Linked DNA regions of Nothobranchius furzeri. The protein of the gene in region 2 purifies or fractionates together with the protein of the main gene of each other region. This does not show direct contact. Links are inferred from orthologs where the notes say so. Each region holds a gene or a part of one and is shown on either strand. Other genes may lie near its edges.

What was found.
Region 1: the proteins of slf2 (region 2) and smc5 purify together in Homo sapiens (affinity purification with mass spectrometry; 3 studies listed by BioGRID and IntAct, with this or other methods). This does not show direct contact. The link is inferred for Nothobranchius furzeri from reciprocal best matches to the Homo sapiens genes SLF2 and SMC5.
Region 3: the proteins of slf2 (region 2) and slf1 purify together in Homo sapiens (co-immunoprecipitation; 3 studies listed by BioGRID and IntAct, with this or other methods). This does not show direct contact. The link is inferred for Nothobranchius furzeri from reciprocal best matches to the Homo sapiens genes SLF2 and SLF1.

What each region holds. Positions count from the first base shown.
Region 1 is NC_091755.1:27,651,290-27,658,239, reverse strand, and holds the start of smc5 (structural maintenance of chromosomes protein 5), read right to left. Parts: upstream 4,791-6,950; 5' UTR 4,589-4,790; coding exon 4,425-4,588; intron 4,111-4,424; coding exon 3,969-4,110; intron 3,747-3,968; coding exon 3,694-3,746; intron 3,534-3,693; coding exon 3,371-3,533; intron 3,008-3,370; coding exon 2,873-3,007; intron 2,691-2,872; coding exon 2,550-2,690; intron 2,463-2,549; coding exon 2,301-2,462; intron 2,230-2,300; coding exon 2,158-2,229; intron 2,041-2,157; coding exon 1,785-2,040; intron 1,702-1,784; coding exon 1,547-1,701; intron 1,372-1,546; coding exon 1,258-1,371; intron 1,156-1,257; coding exon 1,061-1,155; intron 940-1,060; coding exon 807-939; intron 657-806; coding exon 483-656; intron 359-482; coding exon 189-358; intron 105-188; coding exon 1-104. UniProt on the Homo sapiens protein: Core component of the SMC5-SMC6 complex, a complex involved in repair of DNA double-strand breaks by homologous recombination.
Region 2 is NC_091752.1:20,504,137-20,510,986, reverse strand, and holds part of slf2 (SMC5-SMC6 complex localization factor protein 2), read left to right. Parts: intron 1-349; coding exon 350-1,716; intron 1,717-1,799; coding exon 1,800-1,879; intron 1,880-1,957; coding exon 1,958-2,065; intron 2,066-2,163; coding exon 2,164-2,331; intron 2,332-2,433; coding exon 2,434-2,539; intron 2,540-5,687; exon of another isoform or gene 5,688-5,818; coding exon of another isoform or gene 5,819-6,022; intron 6,023-6,108; coding exon of another isoform or gene 6,109-6,519; exon of another isoform or gene 6,520-6,645; intron 6,646-6,850. Other genes in the region: piggyBac transposable element-derived protein 4-like, read left to right, coding at 5,819-6,022, 6,109-6,519. UniProt on the Homo sapiens protein: Plays a role in the DNA damage response (DDR) pathway by regulating postreplication repair of UV-damaged DNA and genomic stability maintenance.
Region 3 is NC_091757.1:41,838,563-41,845,512, forward strand, and holds the start of slf1 (SMC5-SMC6 complex localization factor protein 1), read right to left. Parts: upstream 4,533-6,950; 5' UTR 4,128-4,532; intron 3,359-4,127; 5' UTR 3,347-3,358; coding exon 3,236-3,346; intron 1-3,235. UniProt on the Homo sapiens protein: Plays a role in the DNA damage response (DDR) pathway by regulating postreplication repair of UV-damaged DNA and genomic stability maintenance.

The DNA.
Region 1 (6,950 bases), on a different chromosome or scaffold from region 2:
CAGAGACTATGGTCACCTTCTGGAAACTAACGGCTTTAATCTTGGCATTTGTTTGTTCTTCAACCTTTTTCAAATCGATAACGTTCTGCTCCATCTGCCTCAGACTCAACATACATAAAAAAAATTACTTTCAAAATTTGAATAAACTTTATGACCATATCAGACTCTCCAGACCTTTGAAGGCTCACCTGTCCTGTTTGGTGCCGATTTTCTGCTCCAGTTGCTTCTTTTTTCCCTTTAACTCAGACAAACGCTTCTTCTCCGACAACAGCTCGTTTTCATGGCGATTCAGTGCAGCAAACTCCGTCTGCAGGGTCTTCATTCGTTCATCGATTTCTTGCAGTTTTGACTCACAGGCCTGGTTGCAACAGAAAATGCAAGAATGACTAAATAATATCACACCTAAACGTTGTCAGGGTCCCTCGTGTTTCATAGGAGATTAAAACTGATTTTAAAAAAAACTAAGACGACGACTGTCTCACCCTCAGCTGCTGCTCCAGCTGTCGCCTCTCTTCAGCGTCCACGGTGATGATGAGGTACTGAGACTTTTGCACAGCTGAGTTACTGGTGCTGGTCTTGTTGGAATAGATGGACCTTTTTACAGTGTACCTCTCATCTGTCGTATACAACACCTTAAGGTAAGGCTCCTGAATCACCTAAAAACAAAACACAAAGTAGGTGTTATGAACAGCTGTGTTTGTAAGTTAAAATAAAAGCTCCTATGATCCACTTTTAAAAGGGAAAATCTTCTCTGATTGTCTTTAGGTGTAAAGGAGAATCAGAAACATGCAATAAAAAGAACGTACTGTATTAATCAAGGCTTTGGTTTGCTCGTTGCCGACTGGAACGTCATGCACTTTGTACTGGGAACACAGGTAACTCATCACCTCATCGGGGGCATTGAACATCTCACGGAGGTAGGTGAAGAACCCAAAACGCCTGCAGACGATAAAATAAAAAACCGTATCTGATAAATAAAAAGGGTGGCAGATGGAGAGGAAAACACACTGGAGCAGCCCCCACCTTGGCTGATCATTAACACACTTTCACTCTCTCTCACCTCATGGACTCGATGTTTCTTGACGGTGGACGTCCAGAACAGGACACCTCCGGAGCAGAAATGGCGTTGACTTTCAGATTCATCTTGTCACGAACCTGAAGAAAATATTTTAAATTCTTACTATGAACAGTTACATGTTCACACTCAGAAATGCTGTCTCTCAGCTGAGCAGTGTTCTGAATGCAAACCGCCCTGACCTCCACCAAGAATTTCTCCATGTCGTCTTTCCTCTGGAAGACAAACGCTCGCAGGTCGTGGAAGGAGATGTGGTTCTCCACATACTTGGCATTCTGATGATCCTTTACGTTGATCTGTGATAACGAAGGCCAAGTAACCATTACGTTTTAACATCTACTTATAGGAAAACGAGATTTTATTTTTCATTTAATACATTTATGACTAAACTTGTGGGTTGAAACATCAAACTTCGGCATTTTACAGCAACTAAAACTTCTAGTAATACACATTTCCAGTGATGGAACTCACCACCAGCATCATGGGCTCATGAATGTTTCCTCTGAACAGCTGTCTGTTCTCTCTGAGCCAAAGGAGAGCGGTGTGTGTGTCCCTGTGGCGTGTCCGCAGCTTCTCTTCTTTCATGTTCATCAGGTTGTTCATGTCATTGAGCTTCTTCTGCAAGCCTGGCATTAAAATAATAAAATCCTAGCAATGCCGTCTGTTATTTTAATCATTAAATGTAAAGTCTGTTTAGTTTTAAACTCACTTCTGGACTCTGCGATGACGTTGTCCCTCTCCCTGCGCAGGTCGGCCTTTTCCGCTTCAATCCTGGCTGTCCTCTCCTGGATCTCCTTAAGTTCCACACTAATAGCAGAAATCAGCAGGGTGGTGTCTAGTTGGTCTCCGAGCTTGTCCAGCTCCACCTTCAGGTCTTCGATGGTCCGTCTAGTGTTGACGATTCTTTTCTGGTGGTCTTCCTCTTCAATCTGCTTCATCCTCAGTGCCTGTTTAATGTCATCAATCTGCAGAGGAGAGATGAGCCACAAGGATGACGTTATTTCAAACATTTAATTGTTACTTTTTTTTTCCTCTTCTTTGAGCAACACCCCCCCCCCCCCCCACCCCACCACCACCACCACCTCTTTATGTTTTCGATCCAGCTGATCTTGTTTCTGCTTGCACTTCTGAGAAGCTTCTTTGATAGCAGCAGTCTGAAACACACATGGTTAGTTTAACTTAATGTTCATGTAACAGATTTAGACAGCAAGCCACCTTCGGTCACCTTAGCTTTCATTTCTGCCTCAATGGGCTTCAGCTTTTCATCAATCTGCTGGATTTTCTTCAGCATGGGCGCCTGGGCTTGCTTCAGGGTCAAAAGCTGCTTTTTGGCTTCTTCTCGCTCCTTCTTCACACCCTCCAGCTCCTTACGAGTGGTTTCATACTCCTGATATCAAAGCCAAAGAGGGTAATCAGATTACAAACTGGATTTGTTTCCACAGTTTGTGCAGAGTGCTTTATGTGAATAACTCACCACCCACGGTTTCTTCTTCTCCAGCAGCTCGATGACGTCAAGATGCCGCTTTTTTTCATAGTAGCGGTTGACATCGAGCTTGTTCCTCTCATTCCTCTGCTTGGCCTTTTCCAGGAAACTCGTCTTCTCCTTCAAGACGTTCTACAGACAAACATCCCGCCAAAACCGCAGCGAAACGATGAGTTGCATCTTTCACAACAGCAAACATGTAATTATCATGTAACAACAATCCAGCTGACATAGCTGAGATCTCAACGGGAATTAGATTATCTAAACAGTTATTCCCAAAAAAAAACTGTTACACAAATAAAATAAAGTTTCACCTCCAGTTCTCGTTCTTTGCTGCGGAAGTTTTTAAGCTCACAGTGGTACTCGTACATTTCTGGTGGTCCAACCGACTTCTCGGTTGCCTCAAGCAACTCAATTTGGGACATTTTTGCAAACTCTCCAACTTTTTCCTGTGACAGAACAGAGAAGAAGTTAGAAAATGAAGATTTCTGACACGTTTTACTTTGCACAAGTGAAGCACTAAAGTTAAAGTCACATAGTCATCATTACACACTGGTGAAATTCATCTGCACATTTGACCTATCCCCATGGAGGGGAGTGGTGAGCAGCAGCGGTGGCTGCGCTTGGAAACTATTTGGTGGTTTAACCCCCAATCCAACCTCTTAAAGCTGAGTGTCAAGCAGGGATGTACTGGGTCCCAGTTTTAAAGTTTTTGGTATGACCCGACCGGGAATCCAATCCCTGATCTCCCAGTCCCAGAACAGACACTCTGCCACTAGGCCACTGAGCTAGATCACATCTAGAAAACCTACCTGAGGGAGGAACTGGCAGAGGTTGCTGACTTGAATTTGCAGAGTCCTGACCTCTTCTTCTACTTGTTTCAGGCTGCAGTGTCTTCCATTCAGCATCCAAAGTGACTGATTGTTCTCTACATGGATCTCTCTGTTAATTATCACATTACCTCCATTTTTGTACCTGTAGAGGCAAAAACAGACATCATTTCATGCAAGCATGTCTAATGTTATCTGGCTGGTCAACCATTAGCTTGGTACTTGTTATGCAAGAGCATCAATCTGGAATTTAGATTAAAAATACAAAAAGTGTAATAGAGGAAAATCTATGTAAAGTAACTTACAGTTCAATCTCAATAGAGCCTTTCTTGCAGCCACGTTTGACATAGAGCCCAACCTGCATAAATAATCTAAATCAATTTATTTAACCATTAAAAGCTTGTAGCAATCATGACTCTGTGGTGCATAAACAACAGAAATTAAATAGTTTCTGCAAATGTTTATATGTCTTTATTACCAGTGTGATTTTAACAAACCAATAAAAATCTTGACTCCATCGCTTTCTTAAATGGTCTTTTTCAGAATAAATCAAGTAGACCAGTGCAGGTGGTTTGTGTACCTTGTCTCCTCTGCCCAGAATTGCTGTCTTTCCAGCCAGACCCAGGCAGATGGCACATACAATGCTGGACTTCCCAGTCCCGTTAGCTCCAACAATCATGTTCAGATTGGATCCCGGATGGACCACAGAGAAGTCATACGTTCTGTCAGTGGACAGAAAACACATTTAGGAGTTTTCGGTTATGTCACACTGCGCAAAATGTTATCTTATATAGCTAATTTTACACAAAACATTGTATTTATTGTATCACTATATTTAAACAGCTAAAATTGAGCCGTTAAACCACTAATTGTATGCTAGCTGTTCACTTCTGTGCGCAAACTACGTGATCAAAAGGTTTAAAACTTTATAAAACAACAAATGGTGCTATTATAAGCTTGTATGTTATCTAAGAGCACAATGTGATGTTTGCTGGCTACCGGTAGAACTCTTGACAGTTAAGGAACTACAACTTACAGGAAGTTTCTCATCGTGATGCGAAGGATGGAACCCTCAACAAATGTACCAACGCCTCCGGCAATATCCGAGTGTCCACCTCTGAACACGCTTGCTCTGCTCGCAGAAGTCTGCGTGTTTCTGCTAATTTGACTTAATCTCGGTCTTTTACTTGATTCGCCCATAGCGACTAAACAAAATTCTCTTCGCGGCTACGGTTCGGCTACGATCACGTTGCTTATTCTCGCGCGTTTTGCTGAGCTTTTAAGAGGTCACATGTACATAAAAATGTTAACGCTAACTATCACGAGAACATGTATGAAAGTAAAACAGGAACACGGATATGCTTGTGTAATTTTTTTTATGCTTGTGTAGTTTTTGCTCATAAAAAAGTCCGAATTTGTCTCTAATGGCCAATTTTAGCATTTGCATGACTACATGCCATGGTGCTGTAAGCTGTATGCACAGGCCAATAATACTATAGCACGTAAGTTTTTGTTCACCAGTTAAGGTGGCTTTATTTAAAGCATATTGTACTCCGCTTTATACAGCCCAACTGTGGTTGAGCAGTATTTTTGGTTTTGTTGGGCAGTAATTTTGATCTTACAATCAAAGCAGCATGAATAAGCTGCATGTTGCATTCAATGATGCCTTAAGAATCATACTCAAAATACCCAGAGGGGGCAGTGCCAGTCAGATGTTTGTAACAGCAGGCATTTGTACTTTAAAGCTCTTTTAAGAAAACTAATGTTCACTTTTAGAGAACGACTGGATAGCTCTGCCAACAGTATAATTTTAGCAATCACTGATCCTGCTGTGAGCATTTGTCGCTATTTGTCCAGTATAAGGAAACACTGGCTGAAGTGTTTGTGTGGTTACTCTTGTGTGGAACATCTTTATAGTAAGTTTTTTTAAATAGATTTAGATGTTTATGCTTTTATCTTATTTGTTTTTAATGTTTTGTTTTATTTATTTATTTTTTAATCTGGACATAAGAGTCTGTCAATAAAGATCATCCATCCATCCATCTTTATCTATACAAATGAAAGCCACTTTTGTTTCACCATTTCCTAACATGCGGGTCTCGTGGCTTCTTTTCGGCTGTGGTGAGATCAGAATCGCCTCTTTACTCATTGTTCTTACAGGTAAAGCTTTAAGGCGAACCTCAAGCCGACCCAGAACTAGTATATCTGATCAATTCATCACTTCTGACCACAGCACGAAATGTGGAGGCCCCATTAGGTGTTTGTCGCCGGCTGCTCATCGCCCCCATAGAAGCTCGCGAGCGCTTTTTTTATCATTTCTAGTCAGAGCAGAGCCAAACTCAGACCAGATCAAATAAGATCACTGTGTAGGTTTTTAAAAATATACACACATACAACATGCATACTCCACATTCACTCACACAGACGCTCGCTAACTAACAACACGCACACAACCAGCCACTCATGCTATGATGGCTATACACTTCCGGCTCTATATAAAAGGAAGCGCACGCGTTGCATCATGGGACATGGCCAGCTTGGAGACTGTCGCCATCTAGTGGTTTGTTGTGGGAAAAGTCCAACAATTTTTCTTTTTTGTTGTTGTTTTGTTTTGTTTAATTGATTAAATGTTTTGGATTAAAGCTTTGCAAGGCTAATCAAAATTAAAATACTAAATTGTTCCTTGTAAACGAGACACTTTTCTATTCTTTAGTATTAAAAAATATAAACAATTCAACAGTGAGAAATCAATGTGTGTGATTTTGTTTCATTATGTTTTTATTTGTTCTTGTAATTTTTCTGTCATTCAGTAAATCAAAGATTACTTGTAGAGCACTTTTCGTAACACAGAATACTTTACATCTGATAAAAAGTTACTAACAAATAAACCCACAATTGCTGGTCAAAATAACTTGAGAAATGATTGCCTGTAAATAATCTGAGCAACTGTGATCTTAATCTAACACAGATTGATTTAAATCCAGTAAACCACATAAATAAATTATATATATATATATATATATATATATATATATATATATATATATATATATATATATATATATATATATATATACATATATATATGTATGTATACACATATATAGAGAGAGAGAGAGAGAGAGAGAGAGAGAGAGAGAGAGAGAGAGAGAGAGAGAGAGAGAGAGAGAGAGAGAGAGAGAGAGAGAGAGAGAGAGAGAGAGAGAGCATTTCAAAATAACAGTGATAAAGTTGGAGTTTTTATTTTTCACAAATATACAGTGACATCCTTTTGGGAAAAAATCCTAGTTTAAAGAACTTTATTTTTTAGGGAATACCGGTACTCAAATAGATAATTCACACAAACACTTTTTTTGTTGGTGACTGAGTTTGTTGGGAGAGCAGTCATCTACATGCTTCGTTGGTTTTAAGTGGTATTTGCGTCTGTGGTAATTAACTAATCTAGCATCCTGTGTCCTGTGGGGGTTGTGAGGTAATCTTGAATGGCATAATGAGATTTCACTGTCTACAACCACTGATGACTGCTGCTACAGTACACCGAGTCTGCAAGGTTCCCCGTCAA
Region 2 (6,850 bases):
GGTGATGTCAACTGGGACTGGCAAAATACAGTTTCATATTAATTCAAAAGCTTCTGTGACTCCATAAATCTGGTCAACCAACCCACAAGACCTAATTTTAAGAATCCTGATAAGTCCACCTTGATTGACTTACTTTTGGCCTGTAAGTGGCTTGTATCTGAAATATTTAATGAATGTTAAATTATCTGAGCCATCAATGGACCAAGGCCAGACTATATATTCACATATATGGGCTAAAAATATTTAGCAATGTGATTTTAAATTAGTTGTCAGAATTAAGTTGTGGTTATAAGTTCTTTGCTGGACTGTTTGTGAAAACTGAATATTTTCTACCTTTTTCTGTCTTCAGCCATGGATCTGAACCGGTCTTCTCAGAAGAGACACAAAGAGTTTGAGCCCTGTTCTGAGGATGCTAAGAAACCATGTCTTCAGGATGCAAACTCGGGCAGAAATCCAACAGTCAAGCTAACTCTTGGCAAACCACCAATCTCGTCAAAGTTTTTTAAGCTGTCATTAAATAATCCGTCGGTCCTGGAATTATCATCACCCAGAAAGATGGGTGGTCTTCTGGTTTCTAAGCCGACTTGTGGACAGTCAACAAGCTCAAAGTTATTATCCAAACTGAAACCCAGTCAGGCACACCTCACACCGTCACCTAAACATTGTCCAAAGAAATCTCCATCAGCTGGGCAAGAGGATTCGACCACCGCTCAGGGGAAACTACCCAAGCTGTGTGCATCTTCAAGGCCCAGTCAAGAAATGGCCAAAAAGGAAAACGAGAAAAAACATAAAAGTGGAAAGTCGAGTTCTTCCAAATGTCCTCAGGAGGATAGTGGTGGATCACGTCAAGTTGGGCCAGCCAGCCACTACTCTAGTTCTACCAAGGGTCATCACACTGGAGAAATCAGAAAATCTCACGGTAGCACTCCCAGATCGTCATCAGAAGAGCGTAGTAAACCAAGTCGTGTACGGGGACCTGCTGTCCCTGGTGACATAAATGAGCTTTTCACACCTGATCCTATGGTTTACGTGGTCAACTCCTTGTGTAAGACTGCAAAGACCAAGATGGTTGAGAAAAACATTAACTCACAAACCTTAGGAACATGTTCCAGCCCTCCTGCTGGCTGTGTGCCTCCAGTAACTACATCCTCTGGTCACATGACTTCCCATTCCAAAGTAACAGGACTTCCACAGGCAGTGTCCTCCTCAGAGCATAACCTGCTGTTCTCGTTGCCAACTGTGAGTTTAAAGCGCATTAAACTAGAAAAATTTAAACCTTTCATGTGTCCTAAAAACAGCCCTGGCCCGTGTTCAGAAAGACAACTTACAGTTGAGGCTGTAAGGGAGAGTGTTAAAATTCATCACAAACAATCACCATCAGCCTCGGCCAGTCCGAGTTTGCGTGCTTTGGACACACCAGCCACTAAACTAACACCGTCACCTCCTCGCAGAAGGTCTCTGTCACTGGAGAGACAGGCGAGCGAAAGGAGTAAAAAGGAGGTGAATGAAGAGGATCCCGCTGATGTAGAGCTAGACCTGGACTTAAGCATTACATATGATATCAAAGAAACCCAGAGCTCAGATGGCAGCGAAGAGGAAGAGCTGGTTTCCTTCCAGGAGATTATGGAGCGCGTTACCAAGGTTCCAGATACACCGGAGAAAGAAGCCTTCTCCGAGCCGAGCACACCCGGGCTTCGCAGCTCCCAGTCAAAAACCGTACGTTCCACGTGAATCCTCTTTGTTAAAAAGTCAGAGCTGTTCTGGATTCGTAGTTGTTACCTTTATTGTTATCTTGGCAGGTGCAGCCATCCTCCACTAAAGCAGTGGTCTACAAGAACAGTCTTGACCAGATGTTGAAGGAATTTGATGACAACAAAAGGTACATTTGAGGAAACTGAACAGTGGTTCTAAACTGTAGCCCTTGCTACTAAATTGGTTTTTGATCTAAATTCATCAGAGCCAAAGAGATCGAGGCGGAGCTTCTAACTGCCTGCAACGGAGGTCTGTTGAAATTGGCTGAATTTGAGGAGTCTGAAGAGAACCAGGATGTCTCCAGTGAGCAACAGTAAGGAAAGCTAAGATCATGTTTACACTTAACACTGCTACCTAAACATTAGAAGTTTTTTGTGCCTGCTTTGTTAATTTATTTGGTTTGTTTCTCAGGGAGTTCCTTCAGCGCTACTCACTGATGTCCGCTGCAATCAGAGAAGTCCCTCCAGGAGAAATGGTGTTCAACTTGGAGAAATTTGGCCAAATCTTCAATGAGCAAACACTGCAGTTGAGGCAGTGCATGGTGAATCCTCAGGGCACGGCACAGAAGACACTTCTTTGGTAAGCTACGATTACACACAGGAAATATCACAGCTGACTGCTGAACTAGCTAACCAAAAGGTGCCGTTATGTGTTGACTTTTGTTTTTCCACTTCCTGCCAGGTCCAGCCCTGCTCAGCTGAGACTTCATTTAAACATTGGGCTGTTTCAGGAATCGTACAACTGTAACTCACCCTGTCCCACTCAGGTTTCCTGTTTCCTTTTCAAGGTAGGCTCAGCACACTGTTGTATTATGTTGTTCGCTGGGTTTTTAAAAGTAAAAGTAGAGATTCAGACATTAGTCAGTATCAAAATATACTCTGTACAGGGTTTCCCCCAGAAAATGGGAGTGGGAGTGGGAGGCTGCACACGTTCCCCTGCTGTTTCTCACCAGTATCAGCTGATGGAGGGCTCTAGTTTCGTTGCACCGTTCGTGTCAGCAGACACGGTGGGGTCGGGGAGGGGGTCGGGGTATGACGCTTAGCCTGGCGGGTGGCCAGGCTTATAAAGCACTGGGGGAAACCCTGCTGTAGCAAGAGTCACATTGTTTTTGGCTCTAGTTGATGCAGAACTTCCCACACAGCATCACTGCAGCTGCTCAGCTCCTCCTGTCACTACCAGTCTAAAGCCACTTTCACGCTGCAAGCATCAACGGAACGGCAGCGAAGTGGCACCGCTTCAAATAGAATCCCATTATAGTCTATGGAGAGTTTCATACCAGCCGTGACGCGGCATGCCGCGCAGCGCCGCTAAAGATAAGACCAAGTTCTATTTTTTTCCGCGAGCCGCTTCTGGGACACGTCAATTTCCGCAGTTCACATAGTGCGAGACAGGAAACCACACAGTTTCAGTGTAAAATCCCCGGTTATTTTCAAAATAAAATTCAACGTTGCCATGTTATATAGGATTTACATCAGTTCATGTGACCGAACAGCTTTGTTTACCACCAGTTTCTTTCGAGAAGTGCAACGGTGTGATTCCTCATGGTGGTTGTGATCTCTCGATGAGGAAGGTGTCGGAACATCTCGGGGGATTTAAGAATCTCGTGTAGGGCTGGGCGATATGGCAAAAATAGAATATCACGATTTTTCCAATATTTTATCACGATTTCGATTTTATCACGATTTATCCATGAAGAGCATAACTTCAATTGCGTGTTAAAAAAGAGAAACATTGAATAATTAAACATTTATTCATATTAGGGATAATCAACACAGTGCTAACACACTTATATTTTAAACTCACACCAGAGATGATAAAAGCCCTGAGAGAAACAATTACAAAAATCAGTTTTTCTCGTTTTTCAAGTAACTTAACATAAATGAAAATCGTAAACATATTTAACCCTTACCTCACATTAGAGCATTTTTTTGTGCTGACACGTGTATTTTTGTGAATAACTTTGGCTATGTTAATGCAATTTATCTAATTTTTATGGAGGATGTGTATTTTGGAAGGAATTACAAAAAAAAGTTTGAAAAAATATTCAACCTACTTTATTAAAACGTGGAAATCATTTTGTACAGTTAAGCACATTGAAGCATTTTTTTGTGCCATTGACTTTCATGTAAATCATATATTTTTAATTAGCATAAATATTGGCATAATTTTAAAAAATTATGATTGTGCCCGTGTTTACAGTCTCATCACAAATGTAAGAAGCAGTTTTTACTGTTTTTCACTACATGGCATACTTTCTCCATATATAGCAGGGCAATGGCTGACCCAGCATTTAAACTGAATGATTTAGCTGTATTTCTTTACCTCTGACCGCCCATTATAATACATATTTTGCAAAAAAATGGTTTGTGTGTTATTTAGAGATGCCATACAATAGTTTGCATGTGTGTGTTCTGAATTTTTGGTAATTGTGCTTTTTCAGTGTTCTTTCAAAAAATAAGCCTGACTGAATGTACAAAATTAGCTTATTCTGCAAAATAGCATTTTGACATGTGTTCCTTTGTGTGTGATTGTTCAGGCATGCGTGTATGTAGGTATCAAAGCACTTTACAGATCTTCAAAGGACAGATCTGTGATCATTATCTGGAGTGGTTGAGCAGGTGTGGGCCATGGGAGTGTAGGGGGGGGGGGGGGGGGGCACAGGTTCTCACACTCTGTTGACTTCATGAATATTCATCAAAGGCATGCTATATATCAAAAATCAAAGGATTTTCTGCTAAATTTCAGATACTCATTCACAATTTTACTTTTGCAAAATGTTATTTCAATAAGTACAAAGCATTTGCATGGATGAAAGCTAAGATGAAGGCTGAAAAACTTCAAAGGCATACATTTGTTTTTCAAAACAAATTCCTGCAGAATCGAATTTTGTTTACATTCAGTAGGGGCAGCTTACACAGGTGCACCAATTGACTAAAAGTACATATATGAGACTCAGATCAGGATTCATTTCTTTGAACCGCAACCATGAGAAGAAGATTCAATGTGAATGAAGCCCTGGAGGTGTTTCAGCAGATTGAGGAAGAGGGAGAGTCAGCCTCATCCTCATCCACGGATGACAGCTCTTGTTCGGATGAAGAGGCTGAAGATCAGGCCTTTACCCCAGGGCCTGATTCAGGGGAAGAAATGGAAGAAGGTTCAGATGAGGAGGTGGTTGCTGCAGAGGAGAGATGGGACCATCCTTTGTGGCAATCAAAGAGCGGGATCGCCTGGTCCCCGACACCCGACACCAGGATCCCCTTTCGGGCTCCAGACGTCCGCCATTGTGGGATCACCCGCCTCGCTGTCAGCTACATCCAAACTATTGAGGACAGCTTCGATTTTTTTTTGACTACAACAATCCTAGATGTAATAATAAAATACACCAATATAGAGGGAAGAAGAAAATATGACGATTGGACAGACGTTGACCGCGTGGAACTCCGGGCATTGTTTGGGTTGCTCATCCTCGCTGGTGTGCACCGTTCCCGTGGGGAATCATCTGCCAGCCTCTGGGGGGAGGAAACGGGGAGGCCGATATTCAGAGCCACGATGAGTTTGGGAAGGTTCCACATGCTGACTGCAACATTGCGCTTTGATGACCGCTTGACCAGGGCAGCCCGCCGGTTGGTGCAGCAGGACAAGCTCGCTCCCCTGCGGGAAGTGTGGGACCTCTGGGCGGCCCGGCTCCCTCTCGCCTACAACCCCGGTGAAGATGTCTGCGTTGATGAACAGCTCGTCGGATTCAGAGGTCGCTGCAACTTCAAGCAGTACATGCCCTCAAAACCGGCAAAATATGGCATCAAGCTGTAGGTGGTGTGCGATGTGGCCACTTCTTATGCCTGGGGGATTATTCCCTATCTGGGCAAGACGACTCGAGACGCCCCGGCAGAAAGGGGGCAAGGGAAGCGGGTGGTGCTGGAACTCACGGAGGGTCTGAGCGGCCGCACTGTCACCACGGACAATTTTTTCACCTCGCTGGTTCTTGGAGAGGAGCTGCTAAAAAAAAATCTGTCTTGTGGGAACAGTTAGGCGCAACAAGCCAGAGTTGCCCCCACAGCTGCTCCAGATGAAAAGCAGAGCGGTTCTGTCCTCCCTGTTCGGCTTCACCTCCACCGCCACCGCGGTGAGCTACATTCCAAAGCGCCGGCGGAACGTTCTGCTCCTCAGCACCAAACACCATCAGGTTCAGATCCAGGAGGGACCGCAGCAGAAGCCGACCGTAATCATCGATTACAACCGCTGCAAAGGGGCAGTTGACAACTTGGACAAGGTAATTTATTTATTTTATTTTGTTTTATTATAATTCACCAACCTAATTGCATATGTAATTTATTTATTCATTTATTTTTATTCCAGCTCGTTGCAACATACAGCTGCCGCCGCAAGACCAGACGTTGGCCCATGTCGCTCTTCTGCAACATGTTAGATGTGAGCGCCTACAATGCCCTGGTCCTGTGGCTGTCTGTGGAACCGGCCTGGAACCAACAGAAGAGGAGCATCCGTCGAAGGCTGTTCTTGCAGGAGCTTGGGACCTCCATGGTGAGACCAGCCCAGGCAAGGCGCACTCGCTTGCCGCGGTCCAGCAGCGCTGCAGCTCTGTTGGAGGTGCAGCAGCAAGTGGAGCCAGGTCCAGCCCAGGAGCAGACAAAGAAAAGATGCCACCTTTGCAGAGGGAAGAGGAGCGTGCATGCACGCTTTTGCCATGCATGTGGACAGGCTGTGTGCAAGGAGCACTCAACAGTTGTGTGCTCAGCCTGCAGCTGTTAGCTCACTCCCCTCTGTGTTTCTCTCTCTTTCTCTCTCTCTCTCTCTCTCTCTCTCTCTCTCTCTCTCTCACACACACACACACACACACACACACACACACACACACACACACACACACACACACACACACACACACACACACACACACACACACACACTTTTTCTTTGTTCGTGTGCTTTAATAAAGTGTTCAACTGGTCATCTTTGTAAGTGCATTTTTTTGTGCTCTAATGACTTTAACGTGAGTATTTTAGAAAATGTGACATTACACAAAAACTACAAAGTGAGCAAAAAATATTTTTATGCCTATTTGTGACACTCCAAGGCTGTG
Region 3 (6,950 bases), on a different chromosome or scaffold from region 2:
CGGGCCGGGTAGCCCCAGTCGGCCTTAGCCTGGCCCGGTTGATTCCACACATCCTTGCCTTAAGCCCATGTGGGCTGATTCTACCCACCAATCAGAGGCTTGCTCTAATGGAAGGTGTGAATTTGCTGTCAGCAGTGGGTGTGTTGGCCCTGGTCGGCCTGAAGCAGACCCCCTCGAGAAGAGGGCTGAGTATCAGCCTTGGTTGGCCCGGAAAAATACCAGGCCACCAAGATATGTAAACAACCTACGCTACCCGGCCCGGACCGACCCGGTACAGATGGGAATGGCCCAATAGTCCCTCCTGCATGTCCTGGGTCTTCCTTTAGTAGGGATGTCTTGATACAACATTTTTACTTCCAAAACGATACTGATATTGCAGCCTTCAACATTGACCGATACCGATATCAGTCCAATACAATATCAGCACAAATCATACATACTTTTCCCTATTTTGTAGAGTGGAGTGTATGAAAGGCTTGATCAGGTGCCATTACTCAGAGAACAAAAGCCAGCAGCAGTAAGTATGAAAAACCGATGCGAAAATCCTCATACAGTGTTTTATGATGCTGCTTGAAATGTGCAATGACGTATTACTCTTCCCCGGTTCTGTCCCACCACAGGAAACTTGAGCATGACAAGTGTTGCACTGACCCACACTGACAAATACTGCCACATGGCCGACATTGCTCTTGTTCCTTGCTACGTCGCTAGCATGCACTTAGTACTTCTGATCATGTGGGCTTTGCATGCTGGATAGAATTGCTGGAATGAAATTTAAAGCAGAACGAATTGATTGTCAAAGATTTTTGATGCAGTCCGATATAATCCAACACGGGTATTTTGGGCTGATATCAGACCTATTTCCGATTTCAGTATCAGACATCCCTATCCTTTAGGTCTCCTCCTAGTTGGATGTGCCTAAAAAAACTCACCAGGGAGGCGTCCAGGAGACATTCCCCTAACCAGATGCTCGAGCCATCATAACTGGGCTACCCTCGATGTGGAGAAGCTGTTTTGGTGTCTATAACTGTATCTACGTTCCTCTTTCAGTCACTGCTGTTGTTTTACCTGCCTGTTAAATCTAATTTGCTGTTAAGCACTTTGCACAACACCAAACTGTATGAAAAGTTTTTTATGGATAATGTTCAATAGACTGTGTATATTAAATACAGCATATTTCATAGTGAACAACATTTGAAACTTTAGAAAAAGGCAGATATCCAACCAGCTATTGAAGCTCTGTGAGAATAAATTCCAACATTATTATTTCTTTAAATTATAATACATCCAGTTAACACTTTTGTAGTGTACCATAAGGCCTTTGAACCTCACGTGAACTGCAAACGGAAAAATAATTAGCCAGTGGTAACGCCTTCAGCGCCTATCAGGAAAACAAATACTGAGCACCAAATATGTCTGCTTGAGAAAGTCGTTTATCAGCAGCTGGTCTCACATTTAGCTGACTCAGATCTGTTTGAGGTTTTCCAATCAGGGTTCAGGTCTGGCCATAGCACAGAGTCAGCTCTACTGAGGGTTTTAAATGATATATATCTATCACTAGATCAGGGTACATCTGTGGTGCTTCTGTTGTTAGACCTGACGGCAGCCTTCGACACAGTTGACCACGCAATTCTACTCGATTGCTTGGAACGATGGGTTGGGATCAAAGGGTCAGCTCTGGATTGGTTTAGATCGTATCTCCACAACAGGACATTCTGTGTTAAACTGGGTGATGTTTTTTTCTTCTTGGGAGGGGCTCCGCTGGGGGGTCCCGCAGGGATCAATCCTTGGTCCTCTTTTGTTTACCATTTATCTGCTTCCTCTGGGGTCAATCATTCGTAAACATGGCCTATCATTACATCTCAATGCTGACGATTGCCAGATTTACTCTCCATTGGGCCAGGAGAAAGGACACTCCATCCAGTCTTTTTGTCCTGTCTTAACAAGGTGAAGTCTTTGCTAATGGCCAACTATCTGCATCTGAATGAGGGAAGGACAGAGCTCATTGTTTTTCACCCCAACAGCAGGAATGTGGGTCGTTATGTTGATCTTGGCCCTCTTTCTCCCTACTCAAAACCAGTTGTCACCAGTTTGGGGGTGAAAGTTGATGCTGGACTTAAATTTGATGCTCACATCAACTCTGTGATCCGGTCCAGTTTCTTTCACCTGAGACGCCTTGCAAAAATCAAGCCAATGCTGTCAAGAGCCCACCTGGAGCGGGTACTGCATGCATTTGTAATTTCTAGGCTTGATTACTGCAACTCTCTCTATGCAGGGTTGTGTCAGACATCACTGCGTTGCCTACAAGTTGTGCAGAACAGCGCAGCCAGGTTCCTGACTGGGACCAGGAAACGGGACCACATCAGTCCGGTTCTGGCCTCCCTGCACTGGCTTCCGGTTTGTTATCGTTCACACTTCAAACTCCTCGTCTTTGTCTACAATTTCTTCCAGAGTAATGCTCCCCCCCTATCTAGCCACACTCCTGAACAGATATTCCCCATCACGCGCTCTGCGCTCCTCTGACCAAGGCCTGCTCACTGTCCCTCGTTCGAGGTGTCATACTCGCGGGGACCGGGCATTCTCAGTCCTAGCACCGTCACTCTGGAACCAGTTGCCACCCTCAGTTAGGCTGTCCCCATCTCTGCCAGTCTTTAAGAGTCGCCTAAAACCCCACCTCCTCCGCTTGGCGTTTCCTGAACGTGTTTGAATTTGGCCATCTTTAATGTTGATTTTATTTCCCTGTTTTCATTGGTTCACTCTATCCCTTGTTTTACCCATTTGTCTTCTACTAGAATGTTTTACCTTTTTTTGTAATTTGAACTGCTTTTATTTTCGATTTATTCACCATATTTAACTTTGTCATGTACTATGTTCAGCGCCTTGGGCTACCTGACAGGGTTGCGGAAGGCGCTATATAAATAAAGCTTTGATTGATTGATGTTATTAAATTAAAGCTATAGATTCATCATTTTCTGCAGAAAGGTGTGTCATGGGAACTGTTAAGAGACTTCAGTAGATACACAGCCACCATGTTGTTGTTTTTTTATGCAAAAACACTGATTAAGAGCAAGAGTCACATTTTAATTTAGTTTCTTAACCAACAGATTGCAAACTGTCTCGAGTGACAGAAACTAAGAAGCTATTGGTGTATAAAAATCAACTTTTGCAAAATTCGTCACTTTGTTTCCAGTGCATCTGACATTTCCCCCAAAAATCTACAGTAATCTCGACTCACCGAACCACCGATGTATTTCCCACCTAGCTGGTTGATCCCTTTGAGCAAAATTCTCTTCTTTTCACGATTTTTGATCCCAGAGATCTGAAAAATGTGTCTGCAGACCTCCATCACAAAGGTGCGCTAAAACAGAGGATAGAATTAGGTTAAAGTGAAAAAGATCAAGTTACAGATTAAGTAGGCTATTAACTTCCTTAAAATTGTGATGCAGTAATTCTTGTTTGACAGGATGACTTAAGACTGTCTTTTATTATCAGTTGACTGAGCTGAACTCTTGGTTTGATAATACATTGAGGATTCCAACTTTCATTTATAAGATCATATTTATTCAGAAGATATGTAATATAATCACCCCATATGCCACAAACTATTACAATACAGGAGAAATTAACCGTTTGGTTGATTTTATATAGATTTTTTTTTCTAATGATAACAAGCAAACCCAGCTGGCAGCACAGATACCCCCCCCCCCGTTACTGTCAACAAGCTGTTGCTGCAGTAGGTAGGTGTGACTGGGCCATGTACTGGAACTCACACATTGTGATTTGCCTTGCACTTCAATAAACATGAACTATTTTGATTATCAAATGACTGGTAAGGTGCACTGTAGTTGCTGAGATACTTTCAAAATAAATATTACATAGCAGTGCACTATTTAGTTATATGTGGCCACAACTGATTCGTGCTTAGAAACACGTGTTATCCTAATACTTTCCTGTTGTGTATCTCAACAAATACTAAAGATCTCAATTTGTAAACAGAAAATACTCCACTTAGCAACTGCTTAGCTGTGTCATAACGTGTTGATGCTACTTCCATATCTTTGTGTGCTTTTTAGTTCGAATATTTCCCGTTTAGAAGCAAAAATCCCACTGATTTAGTGATCAGGTACCTTTTATGCCGAAGACGACTCCCATTTACATCCAGGCGCGCCAAAAAAACACGTCAGCGAATGTCATCAATACAAGAAAAAGAAAGCTTGCATCGGTGTTTGGTTTCATATCTCCGCTTTTGACTTAATATATATGCTCAACTTTACCAACGAATGCACACTAAGGCATGTCCTGTTATTGTAAATAAAATGCAGATTTCCGTTTAAAGCTGTCCGTATGAAAACAGCTCCAGGATTCTACTATCTAATATGAAAAAAGGTGATTTGATCGACTATCAACCTGCGTTTTGTAGCTTTTAGGTAAATAAGTAGTCTAATATTTAAAAAATTGCACGTAAACATACTAAGGCAAAGATTTTTAAAAATATTTACTTTCGTATTGATTAAATTAATGTTTAATTTAGTCCATTCGGAATCATTTCTCCCCATTTTCTTTGCTCTGGTACAATCCAACAACCGGAACTAGTGCAACTACTTCCGGGTGGTTGTTACGGACGCTTTCTAGCTACGGAACAAACAAAAACACTGTACTCTGGCTGTATAACGGGTATATTTACTCAGCCTAATCGTAAAATTAATTATTTTTTTCCCCCAGAAACGACTAAAGCTGACAGAACGCGGTTGTTTGTTTCCCAGTGAAGAGTCCCATTTAATGACAACGAGATTTACGCGTCACAGTGATGAATATGTTCATTTTATCATTTTATTTTACAAACTACTGATGAAGATCAACAAAGACATGCTGGAACTGACGATAGCCTAATTTTCTCTGGGTGTTTAAATGGATTAACACGGAATGGATTAGCAGGGAACTCGTGAAAGGTAAAACAATGCATTAGGTTCTGTTTTGACTGTTCTTCCACACACACCGCGTCATGTTTAAGTATCAGATGTATCAGAAATTTGCTACAGTTTGTGAATGAAGCAGACATGTTAGAATTACATGAGTAATTTCTTGGGCTCTTTAAATCAGAGTGCTGGCCACATTTGTGTTCATTAATCAACTTGTATTAATAAAAAGTGTTTTTCATATTCACTTGTAAATTCATTTTATACTACTAATTAAATGCTGTTTTACTTAGACTCTTTTTTAAATTTGCAACCTTTTAATACTTTTCCGATAATTTTGTGTTGGCTTATCACGTTTGTCAGGGTCCCTGAAAATCAAGTTGAAATAAGCAATCAACTTTCTCATTGGCATTCTTGGGGTGGGTGGATGGATGGATGAATAAATGGATAGATAGATCTGGGAAAAAGACCATAACTATGTTATAGAGGATGGCTAGCCTCATTAATAAATGCCAGCTGCTTTTTTAGAATCTTCCTCTCTGCAACCACCACAACAGACTCTACCTCTAACCATGGAGCCAGCACATGTGATCAGTCTCTCCTTTGTTTTTTATATCCCTCTCTTTGGTGCTTTAGAAATTAGATGGTGAAATTCTAGGATTTAAAAAGCCTGACAGATCTACTTCACACTGTCACTTAACATTCATGGACTCACCCATCTTGACCCATCTAGGCTGTTTTTGTTTTAGCATCCAGCAAACAGCAGAAAATGTCTCGACTAGTGCATTAGCAACTCCACCGCTCAGCAGAATTTATTCAGGCTTGTGCTGTTTGTGGAGATAACACATCCATGTCACAGAGCAAATGGAGTCAGTGGTAGAGTCGCTTTGCTGTTATCCAATCCGAGCCAAGATGACCAAATATCAGGAAGTAAGACTCCAAATCCTACCGTGTTAATCTCTCCTCTTGTGTGGCATTCTGCTAGTTCCTGAAACAAATGCATCTCAAAATAAAAATGCATTAAACAGTTATTTTTGCATTTTATATCAATGCCAGCGCTTCCCTCTCTCCAGCCACTTGGGCCAGCTCTTTCGGGGGAATCCCATCATTCCCTGGCCACCCGAGAAACATAGTCCCTTCAGCGTGTCTTGGGTCATCCTTAGTTTTCCTCCCACTTGGACGTGCCCAGAATACCTCACCAGGGAGGTGTCCAGGAAGCATCTTAATCAGATGCCTGAGCCACCTCAGCTGGCTCCTCTTCTTGTGGAGGAGCAGCTGATCTACTTCGAGCCCCTCCCGGATGACCGAGCTTCTCTCCCTATCTCTAAGGGAGAGCCCATGCAGCCACCCTGTAGAGAAAACTCATTTTGGCTGCTTTTATCCGTAATCTCGTTCTTTCGGTCGCTACCCAAAGCTTATGACCATAGGTGAGGGTAGGATTGTAGATCGACTGATAAATAAAGAGCTACGCCTTCCAGCTCAGCTCTCTCTGCATGACAGACCAGTACAACACCAGCATCACTGCAGATGCAGCACCAATCTGCCTGCCGATGTTGCTCTCCATCTTTCCCTCACTCATGAACAAGACCCCGAGATACTTCGTGCTTGACCTGGAGAAGTCATTCTACCCTTTTCTGACTCCAGACCATGGTCTCAGCCAAGTGCTGAGGAGAGGGAAGTCTGGGCCCCTCTGTTTAGGCTGCTGCTCCCACAACCCGACTCCAGATAAGCATACGAAAATTAATGGATGGATGGATCATTGCCATTGGTTTATTGAACATACACTCCGTGTAGATAGTTGAACTGTTACAATTCTAATGTATACACATGTTTTATTTTGATGTAGTCTCAGTTAATCACGTCTGCATTTGTTACAGCAATCCAGGCTTGTTTCAGCTCAATGAATCAACAGTTTCATGCAAGATATTTAAAAAAAATGATATTGCAAAGAAAATAATGACCAGCAGCATGTTGTGAATTTCTGCACACGGACATCAACACCGGGAGAAACATCAATCAATCAATCAAATTTAT